Linked DNA regions of Oryctolagus cuniculus. The protein of the gene in region 1 purifies or fractionates together with the protein of each later gene. This does not show direct contact. Links are inferred from orthologs where the notes say so. Each region holds a gene or a part of one and is shown on either strand. Other genes may lie near its edges. The genes, in order: MGRN1, ANKRD46 and MC1R.

The links.
Region 2: the proteins of MGRN1 (region 1) and ANKRD46 purify together in Homo sapiens (co-immunoprecipitation; 3 studies listed by BioGRID and IntAct, counting the BioPlex papers as one, with this or other methods). This does not show direct contact. The link is inferred for Oryctolagus cuniculus from reciprocal best matches to the Homo sapiens genes MGRN1 and ANKRD46.
Region 3: the proteins of MGRN1 (region 1) and MC1R purify together in Homo sapiens (affinity purification with western blotting; 3 studies listed by BioGRID). This does not show direct contact. The link is inferred for Oryctolagus cuniculus from reciprocal best matches to the Homo sapiens genes MGRN1 and MC1R.

What each region holds. Positions count from the first base shown.
Region 1 is NC_091450.1:30,941,185-30,946,109, forward strand, and holds part of MGRN1 (E3 ubiquitin-protein ligase MGRN1), read right to left. Parts: intron 4,563-4,925; coding exon 4,515-4,562; intron 3,323-4,514; coding exon 3,254-3,322; intron 1,283-3,253; coding exon 1,123-1,282; intron 131-1,122; coding exon 21-130; intron 1-20. UniProt on the Homo sapiens protein: E3 ubiquitin-protein ligase. Mediates monoubiquitination at multiple sites of TSG101 in the presence of UBE2D1, but not of UBE2G1, nor UBE2H. Plays a role in the regulation of endosome-to-lysosome trafficking.
Region 2 is NC_091437.1:126,040,189-126,045,796, reverse strand, and holds the start of ANKRD46 (ankyrin repeat domain-containing protein 46), read left to right. Parts: upstream 1-2,023; 5' UTR 2,024-2,155; intron 2,156-2,781; 5' UTR 2,782-2,839; intron 2,840-5,608.
Region 3 is NC_091449.1:69,456,951-69,462,341, forward strand, and holds the start of MC1R (melanocyte-stimulating hormone receptor), read left to right. Parts: upstream 1-2,038; 5' UTR 2,039-5,391. Other genes in the region: ribosome quality control complex subunit TCF25, read left to right, coding at 1,217-1,289, 1,623-1,781. UniProt on the Homo sapiens protein: Receptor for MSH (alpha, beta and gamma) and ACTH. The activity of this receptor is mediated by G proteins which activate adenylate cyclase.

The DNA.
Region 1 (4,925 bases):
CAGGCAGGAAGGGTACTTACAGAGTGCTCATCGTGGTCCACGCTCTGGGCCAGGACGGGGCTGAAGGAGATGGGAGACAGGGCCCCTGGCTTCTTCCGCACAGCTCGGATCTGCAGGAGGGCCCGGAACGCTGCGGCAGGCAAGGACTCACGTCAGTCGGCAGGGCACCTCCAGCAGGTTCCCGCCTGCACCGGCCACCCCACTGGTCCCCACTGCAGTCCTGGGACGAGTCACACATCCGGACTGCAGGCTGAAGTGACCTTAACAAAATGGCCTGCGCAGAGAAGCCACGGGCAGGACCAAGGCTCAGCCCTCGACACAGCTCCTGGACACCCAGCACTTCCCGCCAAGGCCCACCCCAGCCGGCTCCCTGGTCCTCAGCTCCGGCGCCGCAGCCTGTTCCGCAGACGGAGGCCAGCGGGGCTCCACTGCGCTGCCTGCCACCACTCAGGCTCGCCTGGAGCGTCCTGGCCCACTGGCAGCACTCACGCAGCCTCCATGGCCACCTGGCTCACAGGGACAACCACGGTGGCACAGACCCCGCCTCTGCCTCCGCCTAGCTGCAACCTCGGGGAAGCCCTCGGGGTCCAGCAGCAGCAGCAGGCACTCAGCCCACCTCACACACAGCCCACGCCCTGGTTCCAGGGCTCAGCAACCCACCAGATGGAAGCTTCCTCCCTGACCACACCTCGTCCCTCACGGCCAGGACCTAAGTGGGTGTCTCCTCTTCACTGGGGGGCTTGCACCAACAAAGTCCAGCTTCCCTCAAGGGAGAGACGAACGCTCACTCAGAATGGTGCCCAGGGCACCGAGTCCCCGCCAACTTCCTGCCTACCACCCTGTCCTGGTTCCCCTCCCTGCTGTCCTGTGCAGTCAACCGTCACCACGGACTCCTGCCCTGAAGCACCTCTGGGGCGCCTCCCGGAGCCGGAGCACAGGGCAGAGGAGGGCCCAGGGCTCTCGCAAAGCACCCCGACGCCTTGTGCAGCAGGTGAGGGAGCCATGGCCCTTCCTTTCCTTGGGTCACAAGGGACCTGTGGCCCCGGGTCTACCCTGGTCCGGGACTGCGGCGGCGTGGCCGTCACCTCCAGAGCCTTCCGAGGAGCAGGGCCCAGCACTCACGCAGCCGGCAGATGGGGCAGTTGTTGGCCTGGTAGCGCAGCGTGTCGGCGCACGAGGTGCACAGACACAGGTGGCGGCAGGGCAGGATCAGCGTGTCTCGGAGGTCGGACAGGCACACCACACATTCGTTGCTATTGTCACTGTTCTCATCATCCGCGGGCTGCGGGGACAAGGGCCTGTGGGTCAGGGCCGCCCAGGCGGCAGGCCCAGGGAGAGCGGGTCACTGACGGGCAGAACGCCGGGGCCCCTGCAGAGGTAGGGCCGTGCCCTCACCCACCCAAACCTCAGGAACCTGGGGATTGTGTTCCTGGGACCCAAAGAGGAAACGTGGGAGAGACAGACACACTCGGCTAAGGGGCCGTCTTCACAACCTGGCAGCCTAGCGGCCACGCCTGCAACACAGCTTCCAGAGACCACGTCAGCACCTGACGAGCACCGCACCGTCTGAAACAGGAACGCGCACGTGGCGGTCACGCCTGTCTATGACGTGCTGGGACGTGCCGTCTCTGTGAGTCAAGCACCTGTGACGTGCCTGTGTCTGTAACAAGCCTGCCTCTGAGTGACAGCCTGTGATGAGCCTGTCTTTGGGTGATGCATCTGTGTCCGTACCGAGACTGTCTCCCAGTGATGCGCCTGTAACCCACCTGGCTGAGATGCACCTGTGACGCACCTGTGTCTGTAACGAGGCTGTCCCTGAGTGATGTGCCTGTGACACGCCTGTGTTTGTAATGAGGCTGTCTGAGTGACAACCTGCAATATACCTGTCTCCAAGTGATGCGCCTGTAACACACCTGGCTGAGTGATGCACCTGTGACTGTAACGAGCCTGTCTCCAAGGGACAGCCTGTCTGATGTGTCTGTGTGAGACATACTTGTCTTTGTGAGTGATGTGCCTGTCTCTGTGAATGATTATTTCACTGGGCCCAGCCACATCCACTTGCCTCCAAGTTGTCTCGGCTGCGTCTGCATTCTGAGGGCAGTGCCTCCAGAAAGCTGGCTGGCCCCTGACATAAACCCTGGGAGGGGTCAAGGCTCCCTGCTCTCCCGGCTTCTGGCTGGTTCCGGCTGTCCTGGACCCAAATACCACACCACAAACGGTATGAGCCATTCACAGAAATTCTGGTCTACAGCTGTACCACCCGAAACACGCCCGATCTCGTCTCGTCTCGGAAGGTAAGCAGGGTCGGGCACAGGAGGGGGACGTGGAAGAACAGGCAGCGGTTTCCCACGTGCCAGTGTGCCTTAAAATACGATGGAAATGCAACCAGTCTAGGCTGCGCTTCCCCGGCTGCCCTAGACCACGCCCGGCTGTCGGCCACCACGGGCTCCTTCCAGAAAGCCTGTCCCTCCACCAACAACTGCAGGCAGGCAGGGGGAAGCCAGCAGGGCAGCACCGGCTCACAGCCTAAGGTTGCCAGGCCAACCCCACAAGGACCAGGGGCTGTGCCTCTTGCCCAGGCTGCCCTAGATGGGGATGGCTATTTCCAGAAAAAGCCAGTGACAGTGCTGGGAAGAGAACAAAACGTCCTATAAGTGAACTTCCGGAACAGGAATTATCCTGGGGCAAGCCTGCGGCCGGCAGGCACCTGCCGCTAAGGTGCCTGCATCCCAGGTGGAGGTGCCCGGTGACGCCCAGCTCTGGCTCCCGACTCCAGCCCCCGAGCACAGACTCCAGGAGGCAGAGGTGCTGACTCAGGTAACTGGGTTCCCGCCATCCACGTGGGAGACCCGGATAGCACTCGGGCTCCCGGCTTTGGCCCCCTCGGCTCCCAGCCTGAGAGAGAGCTGGAGGACGGGCGCTCTGGCTGCTGTCCATCCATCAAACAAGGAAGTAACTACGTGCTTAAAAGCTAGGTTCCAGGGAAGGCGGGAAGGAGCCCCACCCGTTCACCATCAACCCTGGGTGCCCTGGGCAACCGCAGCAAGTCACACCCCGCAAGTGGCCACCACGGGTGACACCAAGTCTCACACCCCACAAGTGACCACCATGGGTGACAGCAGCAAGCCACACCCCACGAGTAGCCTCCATGGGTGACAGCAGCAAGCCACACCCCTCGAGTGGCCGCCACGGGGCAGGAGGAAGCGCAGGTGCGTGGCCGGCCGAGCCACGGCAGGCGCGTCACAGGACACACCTTGGTCTCCTGGTTGTTCTTGTTCTCGATGCCGTAGATCTCCTGCAGCAGGTAGCTGACCCGGTCCACCTGGAGAGCAGAGAGGAACGCTGGGCCCTCGCCTGCCCCCACGCGAGGATGCCCTCACCCCCCCAACAAGGTGCCAGGCTGAGGTCCCAGGGCAGCTGTGGCTGGGAATTCTGTGGGGCCTGATGCCAGGCAAAGCCTGGGGCAGGAAATCTGCCACGCGCCCAGCCTGCTGACAGCGCAGGAAGCAGGAAGCAGGCCGTGGGCTGGCAGTCCTGCCCCAGACAGCCCTGCGTCAAGCTCTACGTGGATCAGAACCACACTCCGCCCACCAGCCACGCCTCCAGGGAAAGCCCAGAGCCACCGCCGCCAGCCCCACAGGACCTGACGCTGGGAGACACCAGATGGCAGCTGACGCAGCCACAGCTTTCCAGAACCTCCTACAGGAGGCCTGACCACAGCTCTGGTTAAGGGTCCCAGGCGATCTCTCTCCTGGCCTGCCACTCGCTCCCCACCTCATGGCCTCATGCTGACCATGCTCCTAAGTGACCACAGTTGCTAGATCTCCCGTAGTTCAGGGACCAGGGCACCCCAGGGGGCCCGAAGCTTGCTGGGCAGTACCCCTAGACAACACCCAGCCACACGGGCGTCTCCAGCCCCAGGGCATCTTCACAGTCTGCACCTCCCAGAGTTCCCTCCCTTCTTCCCAGGACAGATCTGACCGTGGCTCTGGGACACAGACCCCGGCCAAGGCCTGCTCCCCACTCTACGTTGCCACGGAGCCGCGTGGGAGCCAGCAGCAGGAACGTCCCGGTGTGTGAACAGGCACAGACTGACCCCAAAGCGAAGACGTGCCGAGTCCAGCTCCCATTAGCACCAGGGTTTCTCACCCTCCTCTCGTGAGCTGCAGAGGCCGGTCCAGGCCGCCACCTGCTGCCGGGGTCAGGCTCCCGTCTTCCTCCCATCACCTTCCTTCCTCCCTCTATGCGTTCACTCATCAACTATGTACTGGCTGCTGGCTTCTCGGTACCATGGCTCAACTGGGCAAGACCTGGGGCCTCCAAGAGCCGCTGCTGGCACAGGTGGGCATTCAGCACCCAGTCCCAGGGCGAACAGCCAGAGCTCGGAGCCCCACAGGGAGCTGCAGCAGCTGTCTGGGCAGCACCTTCGGCCCGGCCCTCGCGTGCCAATCCCGCCCCCGGAGGCGCGTGCGGCGTTCTCATCCCAGGGCGAGGCTACTGTGTGTGAGACTTACGATCTGCTTCTGCTTTAGAGGCTTCACGGAGAAGCTGCCGTCCACGTGCTGCAGGCAAAGACACAGACGTTAACTCCCCGTGGGCTCCGCGCCCTCCCGCTCAGCGGGCTGGAGGCTCTTCCCTGCTGGGGAACCTATCCCCTGCTCGGAAAAGGAGGGACACGCAGACCAGACCTGGAGAACCTGCTAGCAGCACAGCCTCTGGCCCTGCCCCGCCCAACAGAAGTCAACTCAAGTTCAAGGCCATTCAGCCAAGTTCAGGCCTCCTGGACACACAGGACAGAGGAAGCCAAAGTTAGCAACAGTCAAGCTCTCGCCCTCAAAGGGCCTGACCGGGCTAGGAAGTCAGCACGGAGTAGAAACAGCAAACACGACACTCTGACACCCATGACCTGAGCAAGCGTGTTCCGT
Region 2 (5,608 bases), on another chromosome or scaffold:
AAAAAAAAAAGTCTTCTGTCAGGTTGAAGAATAATCCCCCAAAGATGTCCATGTCCTAATCCCCAGAACCTATGAATATGGTGACTTGTATGTTGTGCGATCAAGCCATAGATCTTGAGATGGAGAGATTATTCTAGATGATTGACTTGTGCGCCATTTAAACACAAGGGTCCTTATAAGGAGGCAGGAAAGTCAAAGTTAGGGAAGATGCGAGGACATAGGCATGTCAGAGAGGAGAAAAGATGCTACCTCGCTGGCGTTGGAGTTCACTGGAGTTGGAGTTCGTATTCCAGAGATGTTCTGAAGACCCTCAGGGAGGCTTCCCTTGCATGGCGCCTCCTAAGACCCCAGGAGGGACTCGGGAGATGATGTCCCATGGTCATACGCTTTTGTAAATCTTGCAAACTTAGACTATTTTAGCTACAATGACTGAGACTGCCGCCTCTTCCTACTCAGACTTTTCAAGGTACTCTTTTTTTTTTTTAAGATTTATTTATTTACTTGAAAGTCAGAGTTACAAAGAGAGAGGAGAGGCAGAGAGAGAGAGAGAGAGAGAGAGAGAGAGAGACTTTTCCACCCGCTGGTTCACCCCCATTTGGCCACAATGGCCAGAGTTATGTTAAGCCAAAAGCAGGAGCTTCTTCCAGGTCTCCCACATGGGTGCAGGGGCCCAAGCACTTGGGCCATCCTCTACTGCTTTCCCAGGCCACAGCAGAGAGCTGGATCAGAAGTGGAGCAGCCAGGTCTCAAACCGGTGCCCATAGGGATGCCAGCACTTCAGGCCAGGGCATTAACCCGCTGCGCCACAGTGCCAGCCCCTCAAGGTACTCTTCCCTGGATCAAGCATTTTGGGGTTCTGGCCAAACAGGAATACACTGGGTATACTTTGGTTTGCATTTAGTGGGATCTACTCACGTAGCTCATGGTCACTGTCATGCAGCAGTCAGTTATTGCTGGAGTCTAGGAAGAGCTTCCGTGCAGGCTCCTAACAGCTAATGTGTCAGAGTCCCCAGGTGTGGTGACGCCAAGGAGTCATAGAACACGCTTGGCTTGCAGCTCATCCCCTTAATCTCATCAGATGAATAAAAGCTAAATTTTGCAGATTGAACAAAATGAAGCAATTCATGAGAGAGGTGAGCTTGAATACAAGTAGTGGACAGGCCCTCAGGTGAACACTAGGACAAGGCTTAATTGCCTTGCTGATTTGACATAATTTTCATGCATCCTTGGAGGCGATAAAAACTCAATACATGATCCTTTGGAAGACATCAATGACAAATTGGCTAATAAATGTCATCAATCCAAAGAGTAATGTTTGATTAGTTACTGCACAAGAAAATGTGAAATATCCTGGGATCTCCCAATTGTTATACAGAAGAAATGTGGTCATGCATTCCTTAGATTTGACAGTAACCCTAATCATAGACATGACATCATCGATAACAAGCTCTCAGCCTGGGTGGATGGCCCTTGAATGGATGGGTGCCAGAATCCAGAGGAGAGACTGTTACCATGCAGGGGTCATCACCCTGGCTGCAGGGTGGGAGCTGATAAGCTAAGAAAAGGTATGGGGGGGGGGGGAGGTCTCAGTAAACGAACTTCCCCATTGTTAGCTTTGAGCACATGTTGCAAAAAGGCAAGGAATCCTACAAAGCGGAATGTAAATCACTCAAAAAAAACCCCATATTTTTGTAAAATTTAAAACTCAGGGTTATGGGTTAAGGTGAGGTCACTTGGGTTCTGTAGTTCCACCGTAGCAGTGAGCAACTATGATTAATTGATGCTTAATAGCAAACTAATAAAACCGTCCTTGCCCTTGAGGCCTCCATTTAGCCGAGGGGTTGGGATGCATATCCAGAAAGGGCTGTGAAAAGTGCAGAACGTCCAGGACGCAGATGGAGGAAGGCAACGCCTTTCCTTTCAGAATCCGACCTACAGAGAGGGCTCACCTGTGTGTCTCGGACCCAGGAAGTGCCCAGCGGCTGTGCGGGCCTCCCACCTGCAGGGGGCGCGCCCGCCGCGGCGGCGCGAGGCCGCTCTGGTCCAGCGGAGGGGGCTCGTCCTGCCTCTGTGGCTGGCCGGTCCCCTCCTCCGCCGGCCTCCGTCACGGCCAAGGTGCTGCCGCTGTCGCCGCTGTTGCTCGTCCGAGTCGCAGGTACCTGGGCCGGGCCCCACGGGCAGCGCCTGGGCAGGAGCCACTGCTGCCTCCGCGGCTGGCCCCGAAGGCCCGGAGAGCCCGGGTCCTGGGCCTGGCAGAGGGGCCTGCGGGGCGCGGGCGCCTGGGTCTCGCACCTTGCGCTGAGGCCGGGGAAGCCGAGGCGCGGCCGAGTGGTGGTGGTGCGGGCCGGAAGGCGGCCCGCGCGGGTTCGCGTTGACACCCCGGGGTAGTGGTCGACGGGGGGGATCGTGTTAACATTACAGGCCGAGTGTGCCTTATCCGGAGAGCTGGGGGCCAGAAGTGTGTGCGGAGTGTGGAATATTTGCTACGCAGGCTGCGGCATCCCGGGGAGGGGACCCTGGGCTGAGCACTGCAATGCGTTTGTGTTCCGTGCAGCCCCTGTGCACAGAGCCCGAAGGTCTTTGTGGCGTGCCCGCGTTTTGACTGCGGCGGGACGTGGCGTCAGGCGTGGAGTTTTGCGGCTGTGGCGCCCCGTGTCTCTGCTCGCACACCCTCAGGGGGTTGTGGTTTAGGGGTGCTCAGCGTGTACACCAGTACTGACAGCCCCGGGGACCTTTACTGCATCCCGACAGCAGCCCTCAGCCGCCGTTTCTGTTTTGCAGAGAGGGAAACTGAGGCAAGGAGAGTGCAACTTGTCCGAGACTTGACGGCTGGCGGAGGGTGAGTGAGAGCTGAGCCTCGGCTGCTTGCGACTGTTGCCTGTGCACACGTGTTCGTGTTCTCCGGGCTGTGTGTGTGTGTGTGTGTGTGTGTGATTTATAGCCTGAACGACGTCTTTCAAGGTTTATGGTTGCGGCTGTACACGTTCCAGCTCCTCCCCAGTTTAACGGGAGTCTAATAAAACTTCCCTCATTAGGGGTTATAGAGATTAATATAGCCCTCACTGCTCGGTATGTTGGATTCGAAATAGAGATGAGTTTGGATGTGAACAGCGTACATGGCTTTCCAACACCGTGTGATTTCTTACCGTTGTAACAAGCTCCCTCCTGCCTTTTCAGTCTTAGGATAGCAGCATCAGAGGGGGTGGGAGATGTTTCAGCGAGAGTAAGTTGCTATTTTCAGGGTTTAGGAAGGGCAGTGGGGAGAGGCTGTGAGGTGAAGAGCAAGGACGAGAGTTGGTAGCCTGTTATTTAGAGTAGATTGAGTAACATACTGTGGGAGGTACAGGATTTGCAGAGTTCCATCATTGTTAGGATGGAAGTTTTATTTCCCATTGTTGGCTGTTAGAGTGTCCCAGATCTCTTAGTACTGTCAGGATTTCTTTATTTGCATAGGTCAGCATTTATATAGCAGATTTACGTTGACTTCCTTCTGTAACCAGGCGCTGCCCTGAACACTGGGATTGTAAGAGTGAGCCAAACAGAGTCGTCCTCATTTCGCTGGAGGTGATGGAGGTGGGGGCAGTAAACAGAATAACTTTTAAAAAAAATCGAATCACCACCTGGCATTGGTACAGTGGGTTAAGCCTTGCTTGCAAAGCCATCATCCCATGTCTGAGTGCTGGTTCAAGTCTTGGCTCTGCTTCTGATCCAGCTCGCTGCTAATATGCCTGAGAAGGCAACAGGAGATGGAACAAGTCCCTGGGCCCCTGTCACCCATGTGGGGGATCCAGATGGAGTTCCACACTTGGCTTTAGTCTGGCCCAGATCTGGCTATTGTGGCCATTTGGGGAGTGAACCAGCTGGTGGAAGATCTCTCTGTGTGTCTCCCTCCCTCTCTGTTGCTCCACTTTTCAACTAAACATATAAATCTTGTTTTTTTAAAAAATCAATCAAAACATATCCAGTCAGATGGTGACAGTTACTAAGAAGAAAGATGGAGGAGTGAACTGGCACAGGAAGTACCGGGAGGGAACAGGCACACTTCTAACCTGAGGAACCTTGCCGTGGAGAACACCGCTGAGCAGAACCGAGGGAACATGGGACAGCGGGGCAGCTCCCAGGGAAGAACACAGTGGGCAGGTGCAGAAGCCCAGAAATCCCCCGTCTTGTTGGAGGAGCAGCAGAGGGAGGGAGGGAGCTTTGTACACTGAGTATAGTAGTAGGAGGTGGTTGGAGGGTGTTGTTCAGAGGGGTGAGGGACCCTGGCTTGATGTTTTTCAACAATCACCGAGGCTACTCTGTTCAGAGTGGACTATGAGGGCAAGGATGGAAGCTGGGAGACCAGTTAGGAGGTGGGTGCACTGATCCAAGTGAGAGATGATGGTGACATAGAACAGGTAGTCGTGGTAGAGGCACAGCAGCCCCCATTTGTCTCTGGGGACTGTGTACCAAGTACCCAGTAGATGCTTGAAAACACAGAACCAAACCCTACATACAGGAGTCTGTGTTTTTCCTATCCGTAATACCTATGATGACATTTAATTTATGAATTAGGCACAGTAAGAGGTTAGCAGCAGTGACTGCTCATAAAATAGGACAATTAAAGTAACCTCCTGTGCTACCAAGGCCATTGGTACTCACAAGAACACTTCGAGGAGAGAATGAGGGAAAACACCTGGTTGGTGTGGTTTCAAGAGTAACTACTGGCAGAGGACTTGGAGATGCATGGACAGCACTTTGCAGGGAGTTAGCATAACTTACTCGTATATATAATATATGTGTATAAATATATTTTTTATTTAAGGATTTATTTATTCATTTGAAAGGCAGAGTGATGGAGAGGGAGGGAGAGACAGAGAGACAAATTCACATACTGGTCCACTCTTCAGATGGTCACAACAGCCAGACCAGACTCCATCCATCCAGGTCTCTCACTTAAGTGGCTGAGACCGAAGAACTTGGACCATCATCCACTGCTTCCCCAGGCACATCAGCATGGGGCTGGATCAGCAGCCAGTAGCTGGGACTCAAACTAGCACTCTGCTATGGAATGCTGGTGTCACAGGTGGTGGCCTAAACCACTGTGTCTCAGCGCTGCTCCTCTTGTATGAAATATTTGAAAGCACTGGAGTCATTCCCACATAATATGATCTTTGTTTCTTTTTTATAAAGATTTATTTTTTATTTACCTGAAAGGCAGAGAGCGAACTCTTCCATCTGTTGGTTCACCCCCAAAAGTACAGCAACAGCTAGAGCTAGGCCCAGGTGAAGCCAGGAGCCCAGAGTTTCCTCCAGGTCTCCCACGTGGGAGCAGGGGCCCAAGCACCTGGGCCATCTTCTGCTGCTTTCCCAGGCCATAGCAGAGAGCTGATCGGAAGTGGAGCAGCTGGGTCTCCAACCAGTGCCCATACAAGATGCCAGCGTTGCAGGCGGAGGCTTACCCCACTGTGCCACAGCACTGGGCCCGATTATCTTTATTTCCAACTTAGCTACTTATCAGTTACACTTGGATTATTTTATCAACGACTGAGGGAAATAACTGTAGTATTGCTAGTAATAGTATGCAATTAATTTTCCAAATGAAGCGTGTCCTTTTTGCACAGTACAT
Region 3 (5,391 bases), on another chromosome or scaffold:
CCAGATGGCCACAACAACCAGGGCCTGGTGAAGCCAGGAGCCAGGAGCTTCTTCCAGGTCTCCCACATGGGTACAGGGGCCCAAGGATTTGGGCCGTCTTCCGCTGCTTTCCCAGGTGCATTAGCAGGGAGCTGGATCATAAGTGGAGCAGCCAGGGCTAGAACCGGTGCACATTTGGGATGCCGGTGCTGCAGGTGGCGGCTTAACCTGTTAAGCCACAACGCCAGCCCCTTCTGGCCTTTAAAGCTGAGGAATAGTGGCCGGCACACACCAAGTGGCCCATCTCAAAGAGTCGCAGACAGATTTCCCTTTTGAAGGGAGCGCGTGCTCTCCAGACCTTGGCAGGCACCTGGGTAGACTGGGTAGACCGCATCCTGTCAGAAAACTGGAGACTGTGTGCACTGGAAAAGAGCTCCTGTTGAATTCTCCATTCTGTCAGGGTGGAAATCATGGACTCTTCGTGTGTTCATGAAAAGAACCTTCTGCTGCACTGGGCCTCGTCCCAGTGAGGGAGTGGTCCCGTGGCAGCTGCTCGCTCAGCCTCACTCTGTGGGCCCTGCCCGTAATCCCGATGTGGGCGCCAGTGTGTGCGCCAGTGTGTGGCAGAGAGGCTGCAGCCCCACCTCTCACCAGCAGGGGTCTCCACGCATAAGTAGCTGTAGGCTGCTGGAGGAGACAGTGAACCTACAGCTTTTCTTTATTTGCCTTTATTTATTTGAAAGGTAGAGACACAGAGAAAGAGAGAGAAGGAGGGAGGGGGGGAGGGAGAGAGGGAGGTAGAGGTAGAGGTCTTACATCCTCTGGTTCACCCCCCAAATGCCCTCAATGGCCAGGGCTGCACTAGGCCGAAGCCAGGAGCTTCTTCCAGGTCTCCCACATGGGTGCAGGGGCCCAAGCACTTGGGCCGTCTTCCACTGCTGTCCCAGGCACATCAGCAGGGAGCTGGATTGGAAGTGGAGCATCCAGGGCTTGAACCGACATCCATATGGGACGTCCTCAAGCTGTTCGGGAGCCACTGCCCACCCCAGGGCCCTCATCTGCTATGCTGTGCAGACATAGGGCCTCCATTGTGTCCTTGGGCTCCCTAAGGCTGCTTCCTGACCCTGCCAGTGGGAGATGGGTGGGAGACAGCTGACGAGGGCCGTTGTGAGTGGGGCTGGAAACCGGAGGTAGTAACTGATTTTGTCCTGTGACCCTTCTTGCCCTTGTCTTGCAGGCTAAGTCCTGTCAGCCATGGAAACACAATCGCCCTCTTCTTCAGGTCCCTGTTGCCAAATTACACCATGGAGGTACGTGGAGCGGCCTCGGCCCGTCCCTGCCGGGCTGGTAGACAAGTCCACCTGGGTGTGAGAGTCTGCAGCCATGCAGGCAGCGCAGGCGCAGGGAAGGACCTATGTGCAGTCTGCTGAGCAGTCGAGGCGGGAGCCCCACGGCCAGCGTGGCTGCTGGGCCGGCTCCCTGGGCCTGACGTGGCTTCTGCACCTTCGTTTGGTTTCTGAGAGCTCCCTCACTTTGGCAGGGACATGGGGAGGGTCTGGGGCCCAGTGCTAACGCATGGGCATCCTCGGGCGTTGGAGCACACACCTCCCGAGTCCCAGCCCAGATGTGTCTCGTTGCCACAGGGGGAGAGGCCAGATGAAGGAGTTGCTGGGGGTCTGAACCGCAACCAGGGCTTGAACAGGCTGATGCTGGCTGTGCGCGACATGATGGCCAACTTCCACTTCAACGACCTGGAGGCACCGCGAGAGGACAACCCCGAGGGGGAGGGGGAGTGGGGCTGAGCTGTGTGCACGTGCTGCGCCCCACACTGTGCAATTATGTTCCTGATTTCTGTTCTGGTCGGAATTGGCCAGGCCCCGCAAGTAGAAAAGCTGGATGTATCATCGGCCTGCGTCTTCTGTTCCCTGCGGGTGTCGGCGGGCGGTGCCCGCACCCATTCAGCCGCCTCCAGGGTGGGCTCCTGGAACTTGGACAAGGTTGTGTGGGGCCCCCTGGGTGCTCCCTGCTGGGGCAGGGTCCCTGGGCCCCTTCAGAGCAGAGCAGCACGTGTGACCTAGCTGGCCGATGAACGCCACCGTCTCTCCAATCTGACGGGGTGAGTTATCGCAAAACTACAGGGCGGGGCCCAGATGAAGGGGAAACCCAAAAGCAGGTTTTGTTTGTTTGGTTTTGGAAATTGACTTTCTGTTCGAAAAGCAGAGTTACAGGAGCGTTGAAAGGAAGGGCTTACTCCCCTGATGGCCGCAAGGGCCGAGCTGGGGCAGGCCGAAGCCAGGATCAGGAGCTCCATTTCGGTCTCCCCTGTGGGTGTCGGGGGCCTGAGCACTGGGACCATCATTTGCTGTCTCCCAGAGTGCACGTGAGCAGGAGCTGAGTAGGAAGCGGGGCAGCCAGGGCTCTAGGGGCGCTGCAGTACAGGGTGCAGGCCTGCAGGAGGCCCCAGGGAGCAGGTTTGGGGAAGACGTGTCTTGATTAAGGGTTGCTTGATCTGGCGGTAGCGTGTGGCCCGGGGCAGGGCCTGGCTCACTTGTTCAGCACGTGCCCAGGTCCCGAGGGCCCCACGGTGCTGCCGCCGTCACACAGGTGAGGCCGTTGCTCTGGCCCAGGGCTTGGAAGCCTGACTGGTCCTGGAAGGATCCGAGCCTGCAGGTGTGAAGAAGTGCGGCAGGTGTTCTGTCCCTGCTCAGCCCCAGCTTCCACACAGGAGGGAGAGGGCGGGGTGAGGAAACGATGCCGGCCACAGGGTGGTGAGAGCTGCTGGCCAGAGGCGGCCGGCGCGGTCCTCCCCAAGGCCTGGCCCGCTGGCCTCCCCCGAGAAGCCCCCACAGTGCTTCGTTGTTCCTGTGAGGTGGTGGTGTTGGCTGGTAGGGGAGGGGAGGCAGGGTCACCTGGTACAGCAGAGGTTGGGGGGGTGCCCTACATTTACTACCAGATGCCTGGGGTGCCGGCCCCCTCCCCGGGACCTCCCCGGGATGTCAAGAGCTCACTGCATGGTGTTGATAGCGAGAGAGAGCCCGGGAGCCAAGCTGCCACTGCCTGTCTCAGATCTGGGCCTGCAGCTCCACTTTGTAGCAAGAGCGTGGAGTCCGGTGCCTGCTGTGCCCTTGAGAGACCACGTGCAAGGAGCCATGCTGTGGGTGGGTCCCGACGGCTGTCCCAGACGGGGACCATGTGCCAGCACACGGGTGGGTGAGCAACAGCCCCCATCTTGCTCGCCGGCAGCTGGGGAGTCCTGGAAGGAACTTGAGCTGGGACGCTGGGCTGTGCCGAGAGGTCGTGTTCTGGAAGTGAGCGTCGGAGGGCGTGGCACTGTGCCTCTCCCCCAGCCTGTGGAGATGTGACATCTGGAGCCACATCAGCCTCCCTGCACCCTGCCTGAAGCAGACCAAGATGACACTGACCAGGCCTGCTGTCCTGAGAGGCCGGGAGCCCACAGAGCCAGGGCTGTGGGGTCACCTGCAGCTGACACATTGCTAATGGCAGTGGGAGGAGACACCTGTGGCCCTCACGTCCCATCTTTCAGCTTGAAGGGCTGCATCTGCTACCCAGGCCAGGGGTCGTGCTGAGTCCCAGCTGTCCCTGGACTCTGCTCAGCTTCCACGGGAGGCCCCTGTGTGCCAAGGGGCTGGGATACGGGGCAGACCAGAGACCTGTTCAGCATCCCCACCCCCAGATTCAAAGGAGAGGGTTAGGGGCCGGTGTGCCTGGGAGAGCAGTGGAGGATGACCCAAGAGCTCAGGCCCCTGCACCCATGTAGAGACCCAGAGGAAGCTCCTGGCCGTTGCAGCCATCTAGGGAGTGAACCAGTGGGTAGACTATCGTTCTCTTTCCTTGTCTCTCTCTTGCTTTGACTTTAAAAATTAGAAATTAAGTAAGTAGGGGCTGGTGCTATGGCGTAGCAGGTAAGGCCGCCGCCTGCAGTGCCAACATCCCATATGAATTCCGGTTCAATCCTGGCTGCTCCACTTCCGATCCAGCTCTCTGCTGTGGCCTGGGAAAGCAGCAGAAGATGACCCAAGTCCTTAGGCACCTGCAGCCGTGGGAGACTCAGAAGAAGCTCCTGGCTTCAGATCGGCAGCTCTGGCTGTTGAAGCCATTTGGGGAGTGAACCAGCAGATGGTAGACCTCTCTCTCTCTCTCTCAGCCTCTCCTCCTCTCTGTGTGACTGACTTTCAAGTAAATAAGTCTTTAAAAAAATAAAAGCTAAAAAAGGTTAAAGACAACAGTTAAAAATAAATACGTAGGGGCCAATGCTGTGGCGTAGAAAGTTAAGCCTCACCTGCAGTGTTGGCAGTCCACGTGGACACCGGTTCAAGTCCCTGCTGCTGATGTGCCTGGAAAAGCAGTGGAAGATGGCCCGAGTGTTTGGGCCCCTGCATCCACGTGGGAGACCCGGAAGAAGCTCCTGGCTCCTGGTTTTGGCCTGGACCAAACCGGGCCATTGCAGCCATTTGGGGGGTGGTGAACCAGTGGCTGTAAGACGTCTCCTCCTCTGTAACTCTGCCTCTCAAGTAAATAAATAAATAAATAATAATAATGATAATAATTAAATCTTAAAAAAGATGGACAGCACCCCAACCAAAATGTGGTGCCCCAGCTCTGATAGGCTGCAGCGGGAGCTCACTGAGGAGAGCCAGTGGGCAGGCGCGTGGCTGGTGAGGGGAGCAGGACCAGGAGCCGGGCACCCCCACCCCACCACACTGGCTGCAGCTGTGGCTGGACACAGAGAGGCTACACCCCATGGCTCAGTTGCACGTCTGGAGGTGTGGCAGGTACACAGCAGCACTGGGGAGGCTCCGCTCTGCTCAGCTCTTGACATCTGGGCTGGTCCAGAGGCCTCTCAGGTGGTGGACAATGGTGAGTGGCCAGTGCACTCTGTCCCATGCTGGGACTGCCCAGCATGCCTCCTGCTTCACAGATTGTCCAGGGGCACTAGGAGGTGAAGTCGGTGTGACTCCTGTTAGGGTCTTCCGGTTTCGTCTCTTCCCTCCGGTGACAGACAGAAGCTCGGCACGAGAGTCCTATGGCAGGGTCACCCTCCCCTGGTGCCCACCAGCATGGTTGTGCCAGGAGGAAGGATGTGGTCACCTCGGCCAAAGGCTGCCTGGTTCCCACGCTCTTCAAATCCCAGGCTGGGCGAGTGGGGGAGGAAGGCTGGTGTGAACCCTGTTGCTTCTCAAAGGCCTCATTTACGGAGCTGGAAACACATCCCCGAAATGTGACAGCACAGGAAGCTGGGGCTGGCGCTGCTGACCGCTGGGGGATCTGCGGGCACCAGGAGTTGTGGCCCCAGGACACGGCTCCCCCTGCCCCAGCCCTGGTTCCCGATCACCTCCTGGGACCCTCCGCCACCTTTTGGCTGCCACTCGGTCAGCCGGGAGCAGAAGCTGG